5 linked regions of the Oryzias latipes genome follow. The protein of the gene in region 1 interacts with the protein of each later gene in a biochemical or structural test. Links are inferred from orthologs where the notes say so. Each region holds a gene or a part of one and is shown on either strand. Other genes may lie near its edges. The genes, in order: ras-related C3 botulinum toxin substrate 1, chn2, rho GTPase-activating protein 32, pak1 and hace1.

Region 1 (4,388 bases):
AAAACTACGCCACTCGGGAAAGTGCAGTTTCCTGTGCGTTTCTATCTCTCCAAAACATAAGAGCCATGATGCTCGCGGCTATGCTGGTGTCTTTAATTGGGATCCAACTTTACTGTTAATGCTGGATGTTTTAAATATTTAACAAAAAAGTGTAAGAAACACAAAAAGTAAGAAGATTGGGGAATAGTAAAAATGTAGCCTTAGATATGAATAAAATGTATGTGTTTTGGGCCAGTTTTCTACATAAAAAGCCAATCAATAGTACACATCTCTTGAAATTGTTCTTTAAATACACTTTTTTTTTTTTTACAAAAAAATAAAAATAAACTGTATATGAAAAAACACAGGTCTGTATTTTAATTACCAACATTAAAAAAGTCAACGTGTTCACATCTGTATTATTAGTGTTTTTTGCTCAGGCACCACTAACCTTGGCACGGACGTTTTCAAATGAGGCCGGACTCACAAGAGAGAAGCAGATGAGGAACACATCCTGTAAGACAAAGACAAAAAAGGTTCAGAGTCCATGAAATTCATTTCCTGTTGAGCAAAAAATAAATAAAAATAAATAACCTATCGCTAAGGTGGTCTGTTTAACTTTCTTTAAAACCCTCTTCTACATTTGAATACCACAAATGCTCCCAATTAATTATTTATAAAAGTTATCAACTAAATAACACCTTGTCTGACTATTTTTGTCATTGTACCGTCTGTGGGTAAGAAAGTGGGCGGAGTCTGTCGTAGTCTTCTTGTCCAGCTGTATCCCAAAGGCCCAGGTTCACCGGCTTCCCATCCACCATAACATTGGCAGAGTAGTTATCAAACCTGTGAGAATCAAGCATTCATAAAAACTCAGTTATGTCATTCAAGCCTTGCTACATATTTCTGAATTTCTATGATCATTAGATAAATCAAACAGGTTTTTTGGGGGTCAAAAATCAAAGCCTTGTTCATCAGCAGTACATGTTTTCAGCTTGTTCTTGAATCAGAATAAAAGCAGAATGTACATTTATAAATAATCAGAATGAACCAAAGTGTTTTGAGTGACAAATTCCCAAAAAGCCACAGATCCCACAACTAAGAAAATAAACTAGCTGGTTGCACTTCTGGTAATTTTACATAACAAATGCTTCTCTGAACCCAAACAGCTGCCTGTTAAAAAAGAAAGTGACTTCTTATGTACAAGGAAACTAATATTCCCCCATAAGACCAGTTGAAGAAATGAAACAAAGACACAGTTAAGCAACAACTGTCCAGAAGAAGAATGACAGACAGCTTAGCCATTATGAATAAATAAACACTCACACTGTGGGGATGTACTCTCCTGGAAAGGCATTGGTGGTGTAGCTGATGAGTAGACATGTCTTACCCACAGCACTGAATAAGAGAAATGTTATGTTCAGAATTCAGGAAAATAAAACATATACAAGCTGTCATTAAAGTCAGGCTTAAGTTGTTCGATTATTTTACATTTACAAAGCTAAAAACAGTCCAAGCATTTTATTTAATAACATCAAAGTTACTTGAAATAATTACAACCATTAAAAATATAGTTTCAAGTTAAATGTGGACACTACGCAAAGTTTGGTTTTTAACAAACTGAAAGGAGGAAGTCTGAGAGTCACATTATCATCCGTAGGATAAAAGCAGGATCAAAATAATCCAATATCAAAAATCAATAATTGCCAGTTAATCATTTATTATCATCTCGTAGGTAATGTCAGTTTTATTGAAGCACTCCTGATAGAATGAGTGCACTGATTTCAGGAAATAAGGTTTTTTTTTCTCTTCCAGGCTAGTTGATGAGTAAGCAGATATTTTAAACTTTTGAAACTTTAAAGAGAACTGGTGCCTTAGAGTTTCTTCAAGTCGGAACGGAAAACAAAACAAAAGTCGGAGAGGTCGAGGGACGACTCCGCTGCGGTGGGACCAGCCGCACCCTCGACAAGACGTTACAAGTGTGTTTACCTCTAGCATATTACACATCAGTCAGACTTTCAATATTAGCTCATTGACAATCCTGTCTTTAAAATATTGCAAACTAAACCTACTAATTTAACTATTGTGTAACACAAAAACACGCCCGTGTCAATACAACAGAAGAAGAAACAAATTTCAACTCTTCGAAAAAGTACATATAATTTTTGCCCATTTTGTTCAAAAATAACTTCAAAACAAATCTAAGATCAATCTAACTCTATTCACTGATTTTGGCGTAAATAAATAAAAAAATCTGGAACATTGGATCCAGAACGGTAATATCAGGGGAAAAACAAATGCAATACAAAATGTTGTACATTTCGAAAAAAAAAGAAAAGAACTTGAAAGTCCAATATTTAACCGATAACTTGGCTAACTTTACAACTCCAAAAATAAGACGCAACATTTATGTCGAATGACAACTTTTCGACATCACTGGCGGTTTCAGGGTTTGATACCAAAACTGTCGATTAAATGTTAAATATCACAGTGAGTTTAGTTAGGTTCAACTTACCCGTCTCCAACAACGACACACTTTATGGCCTGCATTGCGCCGCAGCTACAGGAATGCTAAGTTAGCCCAGAGCCAGTTAACGTTAGCTCGGATAGCTTGTCCTTTGTCCGCAACTCCTCTCAAGTGAAACTACCCAACAGTCTTTGCTAACAGTCGACCGCGCTAACTCAAAACTTTCTAAACGGAGAACGGCTTGTTAGAAAATAAAGTTGCGGCGACTCAATTCGGACTTTAGGTCAACTAAACTCAGAAATTCCCTGGCAACATTCCCATGCTTTCGTGAGCTGCTCTATGAGTTATGGAGCAAAACAGCGGCCACCACCCCTATAGCTAAAGAGAAAAAAAAATGAAGCCAGCTCTACAAGATAGGGCATCCGGCGCACGCCCACAGACACCTTAACCAAAGAAAAGATAGCCTCAAACTAGTAGTAAAAAAAAGGGTCAGCTACTCTGGTCTTAAATATAAAGCTTAAAGTTATATATAAATAACATTTGAAAACTAAAATATTACATTTTGGTTTAATGAAAACAAAATAAAAGAAATCGTCGAAGACGGAATATTTACGGTGTGACACCTAGGGTGGAACTGACGTCAGTTTTGACGCGTCTACGGTTCATTTACGATTACAATGGAATTTTTGGTGTGTTGTTTAATTTCCCTGAATTATGCCTTTCAGGCTGAAAAAGTTTTTTTGGAGATGGAAGGATAGCTTGCTCTCCCACCCCTACACCACGATAAATTCAATTATACCATACCAGCAAACATGCACTGTATTAAAAAATAAAGTAGTAAAAGAAAAAAAAAGTCAATGTGTGCCTATTCTAATACGACAAAGATATTTAGCTTCAAAAATGTAACACAATCAATGATTAGTTGGTCATTGTATTTCCAAAAAGTCTGTAGTACTTTGCTTCAGTTCAAGATTTTTTGTGTAGTGAACTTCTGGAAAACAAACCAATTTACCTGGTTTTGTAATGGTGCAAAAACAACATATATACATATTTAGTAACTCAAAAAACCTCTTCTATGTTTCTGTTTGTTTAGTTTTATGAGAACCATAGTAGTTGTGTCTAGGACGTGTTTTTTTTTTCCTTAGCCACCACCCAGATCTGGAAGTCCTTTCAGTCTTTACTCGGGGTTTTATTTAATCCTGGTTTTACTGCACTTCCGTGTGTCGCAGCGATGTCTGTCCTCGGTAGAAAACTAACAGGGTGGAGTAGATGCCAGTACAACGGCAGCAAAAGACGGAGCTCGTTGAGGGTGAAAGATAGAAGAATGGAGCTTCATCCAACACTTGCAGCCATTGTAGCGTCCCCTTGCCTGTTGCCTTTGTAAGCCAAGAACACAGCGCTCAGGGTTGGGCTTTTATGGCGAGTCTTTCGTATCTGGTGCTCCGGTTTTCGGGCTCCGCTGGTCGGACTTACGGACTATTCTCCAAAGGCTTGACGAGGACTTTGTTGATATTTTTTGATCTCGCATGGCGGCTGAGAATACGATTCCCCTACTTTTACTTGGTAGCCTCAATGGTGTTTAACGTCAGATTACAGGTAAATGTTTACACACTATTTTCAGACTGACGGTCACGGTGAGCTTGTCACCATGCCAACAACAGCTGTTGGGGGGCCTCGATAGGGAACCTTTGTTCTTATAGTCAGTTAATCCCAGGTTAAATTGATATATAATCTCTACTACGTGCTGTCCCATAAAACTGGGTTCATGAAAATCATCTGTTAATCGGAAAAATAATTTACTGACATTTGATCAATAGTGAAACAAGTTCATATTCACCCATATTTAGTGTTTGTATCTGATCTAAAATAAAAAACAGTAGTCTGTAATGTGTAATCAGTCAGGGGAAACAACAAAATAGATTTTTTCAATCTTAAATATGAA
Region 2 (4,520 bases), on another chromosome or scaffold:
TATAACAGATGTGCAGAGATAGATACACTGGGTGTACATTTTGATTACCCTTGGGTACATGCATACAAACAGGAATGACAGCAGCATAGAAAATATCATTTTAGAACATTTTTTTTGGCTAGCGTCAGCTGACCAGATAATATATGACAGGTGTGAGGCTGTCTTTCAGGGGTGAGCTTGTTTGATTCAGCCAATAAAAAAAAAAAAAAACAAGAAAAGGAAAAACCTTAGGGATCAGGAATGAGAACACACTGTGTAAATTCTGTACAGAACATGCTTTTTCTGCCATTGATGCAACCAATCATATTAGTGACAATTCTCCAGCTCTGTGTGTGTGACAAACATGCAGCCCTTTATGAATTACCCTGCAGAGCAAGAAAAACTGACATGTCCTCGGTAGGACTGGCAACCTGTCTACTACCCCCCCCCCCCCCCCCCCACACACACACACACACAAACACACACCCCTTCAGCCCTGAAGGGGATAAAGAAAAATGGATCCTAGGATGAAAACATGTTGAGGCAAATTGCAACATTTACAAGAAACATTTGCAAAATCCTGTTTAGCAAACAGCATCTATGTAAGTACATGGCTGGAACTCTGTTCCTCCGATTAGTTTTTTTTATTAAGGTCAAAGAAGCTGTACAGTTCAAGCCATGTCCCTTTGATTTTCTACTACCTTCCTCCTTCTAAAGGGATCTGCAAAGTGACACATCCTGTTATGCATTTACGTTGCAAGAACATGCAGGAACATCTCTGTGCTCCAAAAGCAGCCAGTAAACCTAATCGCTCAGAAACAAAAGGGATGAATGCTGCCAGAAGAATTTATAGCAGTGAAAAAAAATTGGAGGAAACATCAATAAATCAATGTTTACTTCCCTAAACTAATTATTGTGAGAACAATCAGAGGCATGGGGGCAAATTTAATGAATGAACTTTGTTTCTGTACAATTCTCCAAATAAGAAGCCCCCACGAAATTCACGTTAGAATGATATGCCTCATAGACGAGATTATTGAAATGTTGTGTCTTTTTCCAAAAGAGCTCTGCACAGAAATAATAACACCCCTGCGACAATTACTCCAAATCTGGCAGCACTGCATCTTGTAACCCCTGATAATTACATTGCAAGTCCAACTGTAATGACAACTCTCTCGGGCCGCAGATAGACAAGACTTTCTTCTCAAAGCAGCAGTGGTCAAATGCGGCTTTCTGAAAATGCACACATGATATAATGTTTTGTGAGGCATGTGGTTACCACAGGCTGGATGAGCTTGGAAATGATTGTCTGTCCCGCCCACATGGGCAGCACCTTGGGAAATGTGACGCTGTAATGTGGCCTGGCTGGGATGCAGAGACAGTAAAACAAACACTGTGTTTTTTTACCCTCATATCCTTCTCCCTACCAAACTCCCACATCCAGCTTTTCCTAGAAATATCAAACTCAAAAACTATGTGTGTGCTTTAATGTGACATTTCCTTTCTTATCATCCCACAAAAAAAAAAAAATATCTCACCGCTACTGAGTTTTGACATTATCCTGGCAATCGTGAGCAGCTCACTGAACCAAAAGAAAGTTTCTATTTGGGTAGCTGATCCAAATTTTTTTCCCTTCATTCTGTGAAGGCCAGAGTCACATTTTAGATCAGAATTTTGCACAGTGTGTCTGCACTGTAATGCACCTGGGGAAACAGCAGCAAAGTCTCACATTGGCCTGTGCCTTCCATGCTAGAAGATTCAACAGGAGTTTTGTGCTCACTTCAGCACTTTAAATTGTCTGATGTCACTCCAAAACTGCATTCCAGATTTTTTCGTCTTCAGAGAACATCTCACTCTGGTGCGTTTGTAAAAAAAAAAAAAAAATGGCAGTCAAGCAGGTAGAAGGTCAATAAGATTGGCGGTTCAAGGATAACAAACACTCAAAAGCCTTCCTCAATGTTCCCATCCAGTCTCCAACACTGGTCAATCCACTGCTGATACCAGTTATTTCTGAGACCAAATGCTTTTCCATGATTCTCCAAAGATTGTGCGAAGAGATGTGCATTTGTGGGACATTTAAAGGAAATTTCAATGTTCTTCTTTTTCTTTTAATCCCAAGTAAATAAAGCATTTGAATGACTTTATGTAACACAATGTAGAAGTTTGGTAACAGCAAATGAAGCAAGTAGTAATACATGTAATCTGAAATAACAAAAGCATCTAAGTAGATTTTAATTTAAACAAATAAATTCAGATTTAATCCTCAATTAGATTAGTTAACTCTTACCAGAGGACATGGATGAACCTGAGAGGCTGGAGTTGCTGGATGCTGCCATCCCAACCAGTGAGTTTTGCGCCTTGGTCACTCCCGTTTGGCCAAAGTAGGCTCACAGCTCGGGTGCGGCGGTGCCTCCATGTCAGTCCGTTTCACCCCAGATCACTTGATGTTTCCTCTCATCCTGATCCCCTCCGTTTGAAGGATCCCTTCGGCTCGGATCGCTGTGCGCCTCAGCGTGCAGCCGCTGCCGCATTCACTGACGCTGCAGACGCAGGAGAGTAGACAGGCTGCAGGGATACGTTTGGTTGATTATTCGGCTTTTCTTGACACTCAAAAGAAAACGCTTGGGTCTCTGCCGCGGACAGGCGCCATGGTTCCCATGTGCGCCGCTTGTATGGAATATTTGTTAATTTACGCACCACCGCGTCGACGCGCCTTAAAGAGAAAGTTTGGAGCTGTGCAGACAAACGGAAAACAAACAACCGACCTACCTCAGTCTGCAAGAATCCCAGACTGTTACAGTGTCTTCTCCTGTTAAATGAATGATTCGTTCAACCAGCCAAACCACGTGTGATCAGTTCCTGAACTGCATGACATTTTTTTCCAAATGTCATAACATTCTACTTTGCGTTAAAAGCGCCCTATGGGTGATGTTTACGCGCCATCTGGTGGATTGATGAAAGAATTGGGAAAGAGAACCAAGGAATCCTTTCAAAAGAAGCCCAAACATTTATTTCACTTTATTTGAGAATAAATATCTATAATTGAAGACTAGGCCAAAAAAACTGTGGACTCTTTACTGTTAGGCCAGCTCACTCTCATATTCTGGAAATGCACAGAAGCTGTTTCACAAATGCACACGCTCCGGATCACAAATATATTTATGCAAACACGTAAAAAAAAAAATCACAAATGCACATGAACGGTTTCACAGCAAGCAATCTGGTTCACAAACAGTTTTTTTTTTCTCTTTTGGGGATCTTTTATTTGAAGTATAAGTGAATTGAAGTAAATCCACTTTCTAGAACTTAATGTTCAAAAGGTATGGATGTGGTCATTTTTGAAATGTCACATTTGACATAATATCAGTTCACAATTTTTGTCTTCTCCAGTCTGACTTTGAGCAAGTTGTGCAGAACAGTTGCACTTTCAAGTCGCCAATAATTCTTATTTTAAAAGGCAAATATTCTTTACTTAGTTGCCTACAATATAATAGGTAGGCCAATATGAATTACTTTGAAAATCTCTAGAACAGAAAACATTTTTAAATAAATGACCAATTCCCTTTCTGAAAGCATTGCAACCTGACTCTTTTTTTCAGCATGACCATCTTCTTCATCTTTTCCCCCTTCCCCCTTCCCCCTGCACTGTGGGAAAACGTTTAACTTAAAAAAAGCAAACTTTATTTATTTCTGCATTTAATCATTAGTAGGTATCTCTTTAACAGAGTAATGTAACTATACTCTTGGTTCCTCTTTTCTGAGGTTTTGTCATTATAAAGTTATTAGCTCACTAGCACATTATCAAAACTGACAGGCCACAATAAAACATTTTTAGCGTCACTTGAATTTGGCACATAGAGTCAGATTCATGTATGTGTTACATGCACAGCTTCCACTGGCATTGAAATTGGTTTCAGTACAATCTGAACACGATCAGACAAACACATATACTTGACCGCCGATAAAAACGCTCCTTGAGCATGGATGTAGATGCATTTTAAGATGGTGTGGTCAGTCGTGACAAAAAAAGGTGTGAACGTTGTGAAGACACAAGAAAAAAATACACCACTGTTTGGATAAATTCTCTACTGATTTTCTTAACCCACAACACCCCTTTCAGGATCACAAGATTGCACACAATCACTCCCATTTTAGAGTAAATAGTTAGCCCATGAGGCATATTTTGAACTGTGGGAGGTGACTGGAGAAAACCACACATATATGGGAAGAAGATTCAAACCCCGTAAGGGACTTGAACCCAGATCTAAGCTGGGACGTGAGCCAGGGCCTTTTTGCTGAGAGGAAAGAGTGCTAATCACTGTTCCACCGTGCACACAGTGCCACTGTGCATAATCTGTTTTTAATTTTAAATTTCCACAAGCAGTAGACCTCGAAAAAGGAAAACTATATGTGTGTCTGTGTCTTTGATGCTCTGCTGTTTCAAGGGGCCCACAGAAAACACCTTAACTGTTTGTGCCTTTACAGAAAAAAGAAAAAGCGTGACTGCATGTGTGGTTCTAAAATACTTATAACTAATATGA
Region 3 (3,892 bases), on another chromosome or scaffold:
TGAGAGGAAGAGAGGGTGAGAGGGTGAGAGGATGAGAGGATGAGAGGGTGAGAGGAAGAGAGGATGAGAGGGTGAGAGAAAGAGAGGGTGAGAGGATGAGAGGGTGAGAGGAAGAGAGGGTGAGAGGGTGAGAGGATGAGAGGGTGAGAGGAAGAGAGGGTGAGAGGGTGAGAGGATGAGAGGGTGAGAGGAAGAGAGGGTGAGAGGATGAGAGGGTGAGAGGATGAGAAGGTGAGAGGAAGAGACGGTGAGAGGGTGAGAGGATGAGAGGGTGAGAGGAAGAGAGGGTGAGAGGGTGAGAGGGTGAGAGGATGAGAGGGTGAGAGGAAGAGAGGGTGAGAGGACGAGAGGGTGAGAGGGAGAGAGGATGAGAGGATGAGAGGGTGAGAGGAAGAGAGGGTGAGAGGAATTGAGGGTGAGAGGGTGAGAGGATGAGAGGGAGAGAGGATGAGAGGGTGAGAGGAAGAGAGGGTGAGAGGGTGAGAGTGTGAGAGGAAGAGAGGAAGAGAGGGTGAGAGGGTGAGAGGATGAGAGGGTGAGAGGGTGAGAGGATGAGAGGGTGAGAGGATGAGAGGGTGAGAGGATGAGAGGGTGAGAGGATGAGAGGGTGAGAGGAAGAGAGGGTGAGAGGGTGAGAGGATGAGAGGATGAGAGGGTGAGAGGAAGAGAGGATGAGAGGGTGAGAGGAAGAGAGGGTGAGAGGATGAGAGGGTGAGAGGAAGAGAGGGTGAGAGGATGAGAGGGTGAGAGGATGAGAGGGTGAGAGGAAGAGAGGGTGAGAGGGTGAGAGGGTGAGAGGATGAGAGGGAGAGAGGATGAGAGGATGAGAGGGTGAGAGGGTGAGAGGAAGAGAGGGTGAGAGGATGAGAGGGTGAGAGGATGAGAGGGTGAGAGGATGAGAGGGTGAGAGGAAGAGAGGGTGAGAGGAAGAGAGGGTGAGAGGGTGAGAGGATGAGAGGGTGAGAGGAAGAGAGGAAGAGAGGGTGAGAGGATGAGAGGGTGAGAGGGTGAGAGGATGAGAGGGTGAGAGGGTGAGAGGGTGAGAGGATGAGAGGGTGAGAGGGTGAGAGGATGAGAGGGTGAGAGGGTGAGAGGGTGAGAGGATGAGAGGGTGAGAGGATGAGAGGGTGAGAGGGGGAGAGGATGGGCTGCGACTAAAGATTCAGTTTTCCCAGCGTGGACCGAACAGGTCTATTGAAAACGGAGGAAACACATCTTTCCAGTGAGGAGGAAGTTGAGAAAGGCGGGTGCGAGCCTCGCCATGCGGCCTTGCCTCTGGCAGGTCGGTCAGGCTCTCCAGGCGGGGCAGCTCGGGCAGCTGCGAGAAGCGCCGGTCATAGATGCACAGATGCAAGTGCTTGTCCAGGACACGGAAATCCTCATAGCTGCGCTTCACCATCCAGCTGCGGCCCTGCAGAACACAGACAAGAAGGCAAGCCAGTGAGCAGAAAGAACGACAAACACGTCTGTCCTCGTTAAACACATTCACATGAAGGTTTTCAGGTGGAATGTTCCAGTGAGAGTCACAGCTTGTTCTTTTTCAGCCATCTTTAATGCAGTTCTTCTACCTGACCATCTTCAGAAGGCAGTCTGCGCCTGGATCAGGCCGCCTAAAGCTGAGCCAAACTCAAACTCATCCTTCCTCAGCGCTGAGCAGTGCTGTGACGGCACACAGTTTCTGCTCCATCTGTGCGGTTCCGCCATCATCTGTGGGGAAGCCTGCCCTGTTTTCAGAGGCAGCTCTGTCAGAAGGGCCTGCTGGAGACCCTCTGAAGATGGTTGGCTGCTGGGAGTGAGGTGAGGAGGGTCGGGCTGAAGGAAACCCCCAGCAGACCTCAGACAGCTACATTTCTGCAACATTTCACCCATTTTCTGGTTGTTGCTCAAATAGAATCTAGCAGAACCCTGAAATCTGGCTTTGAGTCTGGAAAGTTAGTCATATAAACAGGTTGTTCTGCGTCTCCACAAATAAATGTAGTGATGAAAAAGTTCCAAGCGTTTTTCTCCACTAAAGAAAAGTCAAAACCACACAAAGATGAAGTGTTGGAGGAAAAAGTCTGCTGCTCTGATCCGTCTGAACAGAGTCCAGGTCCCGTTCTGAGACCGCTGCGCTCCTTCCAGCGCCGCTTCTAAAGTGCTGCCCCACTTTCAGTTTCCCCGCCTTTCTGGGTTTGTGGCGTTCAGCACAGCGTCCAGCGCTAGAGCTCAGCCACGTGGTTTTTCCACACGGCTGTGGCAGGAGCCCCGCCGTTTCCAAGGACGTGGCTGCATACCTGCGTGGAGCGAAATGTGTTCAGAACGGGCCGCTCAGGATGAAGCTGCAGAGCAGCGGGTGGGGAGGGAAGCCCGCTGCAGCCGGAGGAACCGCATCCCTCTGAAGTTTGGGTTTGGCTTCAATCACAACAGATGAACAGAATGTTGCAGTTCGCCTTCTCAGCAGAACCATCAAGCTTCAAAAGTGTTGCTTTACTGGGGCAGTCCTGACAAACACAGCACCCCCCCAGCTCCCTTCCATTCAAACCAAGTCAGAGATGAGATGAGCCCAAACGGGGACCGGACCACCCTAAAGGGGCTGCAAACTGCTGATGTGGAAGATTACTGGAACACCTGACTGCTTGGAAACCCAACAGAAGCGAGCGCTGGAATCTTCGGCGGTCTTACCTGGCAGTAAATATGCACCAGGTACACCAGCTCTTTGGACTCGTGGCCATTCCTGGTCACCTCACACTGCTCGTCTCCCAGTGAGAGCTGAGGAAAGAGGAGAAACGTGCCAACCTTCAAACAACCTTTGCATTCTGCATTTGTCTTAGAAACCAGTGAGAGTAAAATGAGAAGAAGCAAGGCTCCACAGAAATCTGAGGTGCAGTGTGAAGTCACTGGAGGGGAACGTGCTGAGTGTTTGGAGAAGCTCCGTGTTTGTCAGTGTGCTCGCTGAGTGAGCCGCCTGTCAGAAGACATTTCATTGTGAGTGGAGCTGTGACGGTGTGGGATTTTTGATCACCGCGGTGATTAACCAGTAGGGGGCGCGGAGACCCCGGACGCAGGAGGGTAGCTTCTGTGCCTGTGGCCCCCCACCCCCACCCGCATGTGCCACATTTGACCTCACTGCCTCTCTGCCACAGGCCAGAAGGTCAGCCGTCATTACTGACTACCCTGAGGGGGGGGGGGCTGCCTTGCACCCACAAACACACCAATGATCAAGTAAAGAAAGAACAAAAGTCTCAATAATCCAACACAAACATTACTACAGCAGACAGACCAAGTGAACTCCCACAATGCACCTGGAACCACTGAAAGCCAGCTATGTCATTACACTGGACACCCCTTTAGTCGTATCTCTAAACAAACAAACAGACGCTGCATGAAAAAGTGCTGGAAGCGCTGATGTAACATGTTCCGGTTGAGTGGCGCTGTGAGGTCAGATGTTACCTTCTGTAACCCTCCATCTTTGGGGGAAACGTGCCGTGAGGCGGACAGCATGTGGTCATGTGATCAGTGCCGCCTCCCCGAAACCACGCCTCCTCGATTGTTTCTACTCAAAAACCAAACTGTGAGCTGTGAGGATGGATGATGGGAAGAGAAGCAAAAGGACCAGATAAACCTGGAGGAAACATCACTGAGAATGCTTCAGAAAATCCCTCATGTGTCTCCTCCCTCTGACCCCACAGACATCATCAGCAGCAGGACACCAGAAACCCATGGAAACAGGAAGACGGCTGAACCAGCACTGAAGTGAAGCAACTCATTTTCATGGACGTCTTCTTCAAAAACAGTTTGGTGTAAAAAGCTGCTGTGGTTCTTCCTCTGGTCAGGTTTTTTCTTTTTGCATAAATTCTGCAGGGATCAAAGTGATGAGGTCAAACAAGGACAGACGGAATCCCACATTCATCAG
Region 4 (2,931 bases), on another chromosome or scaffold:
TCTTATTACCTAAAATACTACACAAAAAGCTTTGTTTTTGGTTGAACTTACTGATATCCATTTGAATCATTTTATTTGTCTTTTTTTTTCTAGAAATCCTCTTAAAAACATTTAAAAATGACTTTAAATCAGCTTTTCACACTGACCTCCCAAAAGCCAGCATTTTTCCTGATCCAGAGGATTCTGAAGAGGATAAAGGCCTCAGCCTATAAAATTGAGCAAAACTGCCCTAAAAACCCCCATCTGCCCAAAAAAAACCCCATCCGCCCCCTCTGTGAGCAGCGCCGAGATTCTATGTCCAAACTCCATCCATCAGTGGCTCTGGGCGCAGCCGCGTTCAGACAAAACTAAACCTCTCCGGATATACACCTAAACCTACAGGAGGTGATGCTGCGGGCAGCAAGGGACCAACACGTGCGTTACCGTGACAACAGATAAAAGTACCTACAGCTTCACCGACTAAAAGCTCTCGCACACGCACACGTAAAGGCTGGCTGTGCTGGACCGGGACGCCGTTTCACTTCTTTGGGCTCCGTTGAGATGTTCTGTTCCACAGCGATCTGAAGTTCATCCTTCGTTCTCCCCAGGAGATGTGCAGGAGGGGGGGGGGTCAAGACTCAGGGGTCAAAGGTAAGAGTGGAGGAAAATAACAGTCGAAGCAACTTTACAAAAAACAAAGACGGAAGGCGTTTGAAGAACGTCATAATCCAGCCAGAAGCACATACAACGCCACCTTCCTGTGAACGACGCCGGACGCCAGGAGGAGGTGGGGGAGAAAAACAAAGCTAGCTAGCTAGCTAGCGGTTGTTCTTGGCTGCCTCCTTGGCTGCGAGAATCAGGGGGGTGAGGCTGGAAAGAGGCTTCGCCATCTTCAGAAACTGATGCTGTGAGAAGAACACCGGGAACCCAGGGAGGGCAAAGGTGGTGAAAGGAGTCGGGGCGCAAAGGATGAAAGGATGCAGGAAGGGGGGGAGAAAGAGAAGAGATAAAACAGCAGGTTGATCAAGGGTCTGTGAGATATGAAGCTAAAGAAATATTAAAATATATAAATGGTCAAATACTACAATAGGAAAATTGTAATTTAATTTATTATAATAAGTATATGTGCTGAATTTCAGGTAAATAAATTAGCTCATTAAAATTTTTAAACAGAAATTATTTGTCAAAATAGTTTCATGATCAACATTGATCTCTTGTGTAAGTGTGCTGGAATCCTCTATAACAATCTTAATGTTCTGCTTTCTTTTATTTTACTTCAAGTCTTTTTTTAAACATTTTCATTTATTAAAAGTGTAAAATGACCGATATGTTTTTCTTAAGGCCTTAAAATGGTGACAGTGGAGCGTATTTGACTAAACTTTGGTCCGTTTCATAACATTTCTGTTTGTTTCTGTACTGTGAAAAAGGATTTTCTTAGCGCGGGTTTACCTGCAGGAGCTCTTTAGCAGAGCCTCTCTTCTCCACGTCCATCTCCAGACATCGGTTTAAGAAGTCTCTGAATATCGTTGACAGCTTCTCTGGATTCTGCAGCTCTGGGGTCCCGTTGGTTGCAATAAGATAAAGCGCCTGCAAAACAGAAAAAAGGATATTTTCCTCCCTTAGAGAGCTGGACAGTGAAAAAGAGATCCAGAGAGGTGCTTTGGTGCCATCTAGTGGCAGTTTAAGAGGCAGAAATCCCACAAAAACTACCCTTAAGGTCACAGTGTTCTTCAGCATGTCCATCGTAACGAATAAAGCGTTTTTATTTTGAATTTCAAACTGCAAAAATGGCATATGCATATTGTTATATATGCATATATTATGTATACTTCTAATTTTGGCTAATGAATCACTTATTAGCTGTTTAGACGTTTTTGTTTTGAGGATTCTGGTCTGTACCAACCCCCTAAAGGAAGCGCTGATAGGCATAAAAATAGGATTTAGAATCATTTTTTTAGGACAAAAGTTATTAAATGCTTAAAAATAAAATAAACCAGATAACAAGTAACAATTTTCAATCAAAATATGTAAGAATAAAACAGTCAGATCCAGACATAAAGCCCTCAGTGCAGCTAAAAGCGAGTTAAACAAAACCTCACAACGATGCTGATTTACAAACTCCTAAACCAAAACCAGAAGAAAGTGTTGACTAACCTCAAATGGACTTACAGAAGATTAAAAATCTTTCTGGTTAACATAAATAAAAATCCTAAAAGTGAAAAAAGAAAACGTTTGAAGACTCTCCTTCATCCAGGATGGATCCATAGCAGAAAGAAAGATTTAAAAAGAATCCATCAGGATTTAGCTTTTTAGGTTGAAGACGAAAACCTTTTTGTTTAAAAAAAAAAATCAATCAAACTCACTCTAAGAGGATTCTCATTTAAGTATGGTGGCTCTCCTTCAACCATCTCGATGGCCATGATGCCCAAAGACCAAATGTCCACTTTGGGGCAGTACGCTTTGCGAGTCACGACCTCCGGAGCCATCCAGTATGGAGTCCCCACCATGGTGCTGCGCTTGCTCTGCTCCGGCGTGATCTGAGCGCAGAAGCCAAAGTCAGCTGGAAGAGGCGAAAGGAGAAGAATTAGTGAGTTCACCTTTTGGAGAACAAATCTGCTGTTTATTCTGGAACAGATCTAGAAACCAAAAGGCCACTGACTGAGTTTGACAGAGCCGTCCATGCCCAGCAGGATGTTGTCGCTCTTGATGTCCCGATGGATGACCTGGTTGGAGTGAAGGAACTCCAGGGCCTGAAGACACTGAACAGGAAGTAGAGTAACCCTCCTACCCATGAGGCACCAAAACAACAAACACTTTTGATAGTAAAGCCTTAGACACATGCACCCAAACAGGGTCGTTGACCCTTAAGCTATGTTCACACCGGGCATGTGATTCGCGTTCTTGAACACGTGTTTAGCATCTGGTGTTCACACTGGACGAGCAGGGGGGGGC
Region 5 (3,892 bases), on another chromosome or scaffold:
TCCGACTCCGTCTCACTGGAGGGTTACCAAATCGAGCGTGATTACGCTAATTCATATCTGGTCTTTTGGAACAGACATACCCAGAGTAAGCAAGTTCAGGTGGATTTCAGCCAGAGTTCAGGGTTAAAGTCAGGGTAGTTTAAACATGCTTCCTGGAAAAAAAACCCAGGCCTCAAGGGCTGCATTCCTGCATGTTTTCATTATATTCTGCTCTGGCATGTTTCCATTGGCTGGACACTCCTGAAACAGGTCATCCGTCATGAGTAGGGTGAGCGGAAAGCTCAGCACTGAAGAAGCCGTACAGCTGAGGTAGCCAAGCTCAAGCAGACACCACAGGCAGTGCGGCCTCGGCCAGATCTTTGGTTTGACGAACAATGTCCAAGAGGTCTTGGCGGTTGTAGATCTGCTTTACAGGGGACCTTTAGCAGGATGCTTACAAAAACGAGGAGTTCTCCTAAAACAACAATATTGTACCGCTGTATACGTGGACGCCGCAATCATGTGATGTGGCATAATCATGCTAAGTATTAACTCTGGTCTCATCCTTGTTTTCTAGGGTCAGGGCGTGGTGCGGGAGTGGTTTGACATTCTGTCCAGTGAGATCATTAATCCAGACTATGCCCTGTTCACACAGTCCGCTGATGGTATGTGGACCCCCCCGCCCCAGAGAATCCAACATGAAGCTTCGTTTTGCTGAGATGAGCTTGTTTGTGTCCTTCACAGGTACAACGTTTCAGCCCAACAGCAACTCCTCTGTTAATCCTGATCATCTGAACTACTTCCAGTTTGCTGGTCAGATTCTCGGCCTGGCTCTGTACCACCGGCAGCTGGTCAACATCTACTTCACCCGCTCCTTCTACAAACACATCCTGGGTTAGACCACCGACCTGTGTGTGAATATTACCCTGCCTCTTTCAAGAAGTAAATGCTGTTGACCAATGGAAGTTTCAGTGAGACCCTAGTCACCTTCAGAAAGTTTGACTTCTATCAAGCTGACTCAGTGTGATTTAAAAAAAATCTTCCTTTGTGTCTGATAACATTCAATCATCTCATCTTTCACCCAAAGAACCTGAACACTAGATTTCTTTAAAGACCCACTCCAGTGAAAGTGGTGTTTTTGCCGTTTTTAACATGTTTTTGTAGCATTTTTCTCATAATAGAAGACATGTATAAAGGACATGAAAAGTCTTGCTTCCTCTGCTCCAATTCTAAATTCTCCGCCTGCAGACCATGAATGTCTTCATTTCCTCATCTGAGCTGTAGTGTGGCTCTAAACTGTGCGGCTGGATAGCTTTGATATTGGGCTGGAGTTGTTACACTGACGTTAGCTTGGGCTTGTGAGGAGCGTGTCGCTAGCGAGAGTGTGAACAGGGGCATGCTGGGAAATTAGCGAAAGGCTAACTTCTGCTCCAAGAAGTGCAGCTTTGCAGAAAGTATGTGTTAAAAACAACACAGGCTCTTTGATTTTAGCTAAAAACAGCAGCATCATAACTAAAAGACCACTGGGAACGATTTTCCAATAGAAAACAATAGAGTTGGAGTGAGTCTTTAAACCTACATTTGGTAATTTCCTACACATGCCGCAAGACTTTGGACATTTGTCCTTATCGATTGCTGACTTTTGTTTGTGTCCTATCAACATCGAAGGAGATTAAAAGTCTGCTTTCACTGTCATGAAGAATATGGCACAGTGGTGAGCTCAATCGTTAGCTGTGGTTTCTGACTTTACTACCCATGCTGGCGTCATCGTCAGAAGGAAGTGAAGACATTAGGCACATTTGAAAGGTTGGACTGACGACATGCACGTTTGATCCTCTAAGCTTGATGTGTGACGACGGCTTGATGGTGAAACTTGTTCAAAGTCAGAGCGGTTGGCCAAAGTTGTGTGGAATCACACAAACAAGGTTTCTCATGTGAGGTTTGTGCATTCTCAGGAATCCCTGTGAGCTACCAGGATGTGTCGTCCATTGACCCAGAGTACGCCAAGAACCTGCAATGGATCCTGGACAATGACATTAGCGATCTGGGCCTGGAGCTCACCTTCTCTGTTGAAACGGATGTGTTTGGAGCCATGGAGGAAGTGCCTCTCAAAGCTGGGGGAACAACTACCCTGGTCACTCAGGAAAACAAGGTGAGTGAAGACCTGAGGTAGCGTTAAAGGGCCTTCAGTGAGTCTCCTTGGTTTGTAGGAGAAAGCTCAATGTGACTGAAATATGACCAAGCAGACAAAAAGCTGAGCAAAAGTAAAAGTTTCTTTATTTTCTTTTAGGTCTGCATTAGAAATGTGTCCCTCAAAGACAGATGCTCTTAGGGAGAGTTCCTTTCTCCATTTTTCTCTACATTCACCGTTCTTGAGTTTAGATCTGAATAGTAAAAAATAGTTTCTTCTTCTGTTCAGGGAACTTTAACAGGTTGTTTCTTCAGTTAATTTAATAGTTAACTAGTTTCCAGGTTAGACAATAGGGACCGGGCTCAGTGACGTAAGCTATCCAGAGGTTTGTAAAATCGGAGGCATAATACGTTAGCGGTTTGTGGGTAAACCTTGTTTCTTTCTCTTGAACTTCATATGTTTAAAGGTTGTGGAGGAGTAATTCGGGTTTCAGGTTTTATTCTTTCCCTGTGATGCATTTCTCCCGATTTGACCTGACTGACCACAGAAACCAGACCAAGTCCTGGAGCTAAAACCTTTGATGTTGAAATTCTGTTTTAGACGGTTTTGTACGTCCTGGCAGTGTGTGGAGGGTTAGGTCTGTAAATTACTTCATGTGAACCCCCAACCCTGAATGATTAGGGGGAAATTTGTAGGTATTATGTATCTCTAGAAATGTGGCTATAGGGGGGGATCAAATGGCCTTCTCCTACAGAAAAGCAAGAGTTCTGAAAAAATAAAAATTAAATAAAAAATACTTTCTGTTAAGGGTATATTCCTGCAGGTGGCGCTGTTATACAAAACTTCAGACATCTACAGTAGATAGCTGTAGCAGGCACAAGCCAGAGTTTGACGAGGACTCTGATCTGTTCCCTCTCAGGCCGAGTATGTGCAGCTGGTGACAGAACTGAGGATGACGCGCGCCATCCAGCCACAGATAAATGCATTCCTGCGGGGGTTTCACACCTTCATTCCCCCCTCCCTCATTCAACTGTTCGATGAATATGAATTGGTACGTCTTCCTGTGCCCTCACCTCATCTGTCACTATATTGTCTTTTTCCTTTTCTTCCTTCCATCATATCAGCCCCTCAGATCTTCTCTGGGCTTCAAAGGGGGCTTTAGCTCTATGCAGGGCTTTTTTCTGCAGGTGCTGGCAGAGTCCAACTCTTTGCTAGATTGTGGATGGCTTCCAGAGGGAAACGGATGACTTCATGAGGTCATTTTGTTTCTTTTTCTATCTTTTCCTGTCCAGCAGCTGAGCAGATTAGAGCTAAAAGCCTTTAGGGCTGGACAGATTTTACTGTTATAGTAGGGGATTAAGTCTCACGCGTGGGTTTTCTCCGGGATCTCCGGCTTCCTCCCACTGTCCAGAAACATGCTTCATGGGTTATTTGGCAACTCTAAATTGTCCATAGGTGTGAGTGTGAGAGTGAATGGGTGTGTGACTGTGGACGTTCTACCCTGCGACAGACTGGCGACCTGTCCAGGGCATCCCCTGCCTACGCCCAAGTAGCCGGGATAGGCTCCGGCAGCCCCGTGACCCCGAAAGGGACAAAGCGGTACAGAAAATGAATGAATGAATGAGTAGGGGATTATGAATCTTCTGACACGCGAGGTGTAGATTTGTATAAACCCCTTTTGGATTTAAGGCTAAACTTTATTTCTATTGATTATGTTTGGATACATTTTTTTGTTCGACCTTAATAGGAAGAGAGGTGAAGGACAAGGGAAAGAGGGACAAA

What was found.
Region 2: the proteins of ras-related C3 botulinum toxin substrate 1 (region 1) and chn2 form a complex in vitro, tested with the Homo sapiens proteins (2 studies listed by BioGRID). The link is inferred for Oryzias latipes from reciprocal best matches to the Homo sapiens genes RAC1 and CHN2.
Region 3: of the proteins of ras-related C3 botulinum toxin substrate 1 (region 1) and rho GTPase-activating protein 32, one has a biochemical effect on the other in vitro, tested with the Homo sapiens proteins (3 studies listed by BioGRID). The link is inferred for Oryzias latipes from reciprocal best matches to the Homo sapiens genes RAC1 and ARHGAP32.
Region 4: the proteins of ras-related C3 botulinum toxin substrate 1 (region 1) and pak1 form a complex in vitro, tested with the Homo sapiens proteins (17 studies listed by BioGRID and IntAct). The link is inferred for Oryzias latipes from reciprocal best matches to the Homo sapiens genes RAC1 and PAK1.
Region 5: of the proteins of ras-related C3 botulinum toxin substrate 1 (region 1) and hace1, one has a biochemical effect on the other in vitro, tested with the Homo sapiens proteins (5 studies listed by BioGRID and IntAct, with this or other methods). The link is inferred for Oryzias latipes from reciprocal best matches to the Homo sapiens genes RAC1 and HACE1.

The regions. Positions count from the first base shown.
Region 1 is NC_019866.2:11,732,561-11,736,948, forward strand, and holds the start of ras-related C3 botulinum toxin substrate 1, read right to left. Parts: upstream 3,078-4,388; 5' UTR 2,530-3,077; coding exon 2,495-2,529; intron 1,378-2,494; coding exon 1,306-1,377; intron 826-1,305; coding exon 708-825; intron 494-707; coding exon 431-493; intron 1-430. UniProt on the Homo sapiens protein: Plasma membrane-associated small GTPase which cycles between active GTP-bound and inactive GDP-bound states.
Region 2 is NC_019874.2:16,128,542-16,133,061, forward strand, and holds the start of chn2 (beta-chimaerin), read right to left. Parts: upstream 2,867-4,520; 5' UTR 2,749-2,866; intron 2,716-2,748; exon of another isoform or gene 2,545-2,715; 5' UTR 2,316-2,544; coding exon 2,267-2,315; intron 1-2,266.
Region 3 is NC_019872.2:1,908,601-1,912,492, reverse strand, and holds part of rho GTPase-activating protein 32, read right to left. Parts: intron 2,749-3,892; coding exon 2,662-2,748; intron 1,412-2,661; coding exon 1,274-1,411; intron 1-1,273. UniProt on the Homo sapiens protein: GTPase-activating protein (GAP) promoting GTP hydrolysis on RHOA, CDC42 and RAC1 small GTPases. May be involved in the differentiation of neuronal cells during the formation of neurite extensions.
Region 4 is NC_019871.2:4,551,874-4,554,804, reverse strand, and holds part of pak1 (serine/threonine-protein kinase PAK 1), read right to left. Parts: intron 2,739-2,931; coding exon 2,639-2,738; intron 2,540-2,638; coding exon 2,343-2,539; intron 1,567-2,342; coding exon 1,429-1,566; intron 885-1,428; coding exon 798-884; 3' UTR 1-797. UniProt on the Homo sapiens protein: Protein kinase involved in intracellular signaling pathways downstream of integrins and receptor-type kinases that plays an important role in cytoskeleton dynamics, in cell adhesion, migration, proliferation, apoptosis, mitosis, and in vesicle-mediated transport processes.
Region 5 is NC_019874.2:9,386,817-9,390,708, reverse strand, and holds part of hace1 (E3 ubiquitin-protein ligase HACE1), read left to right. Parts: intron 1-556; coding exon 557-644; intron 645-723; coding exon 724-873; intron 874-1,934; coding exon 1,935-2,131; intron 2,132-3,029; coding exon 3,030-3,161; intron 3,162-3,892. UniProt on the Homo sapiens protein: E3 ubiquitin-protein ligase involved in Golgi membrane fusion and regulation of small GTPases. Acts as a regulator of Golgi membrane dynamics during the cell cycle: recruited to Golgi membrane by Rab proteins and regulates postmitotic Golgi membrane fusion.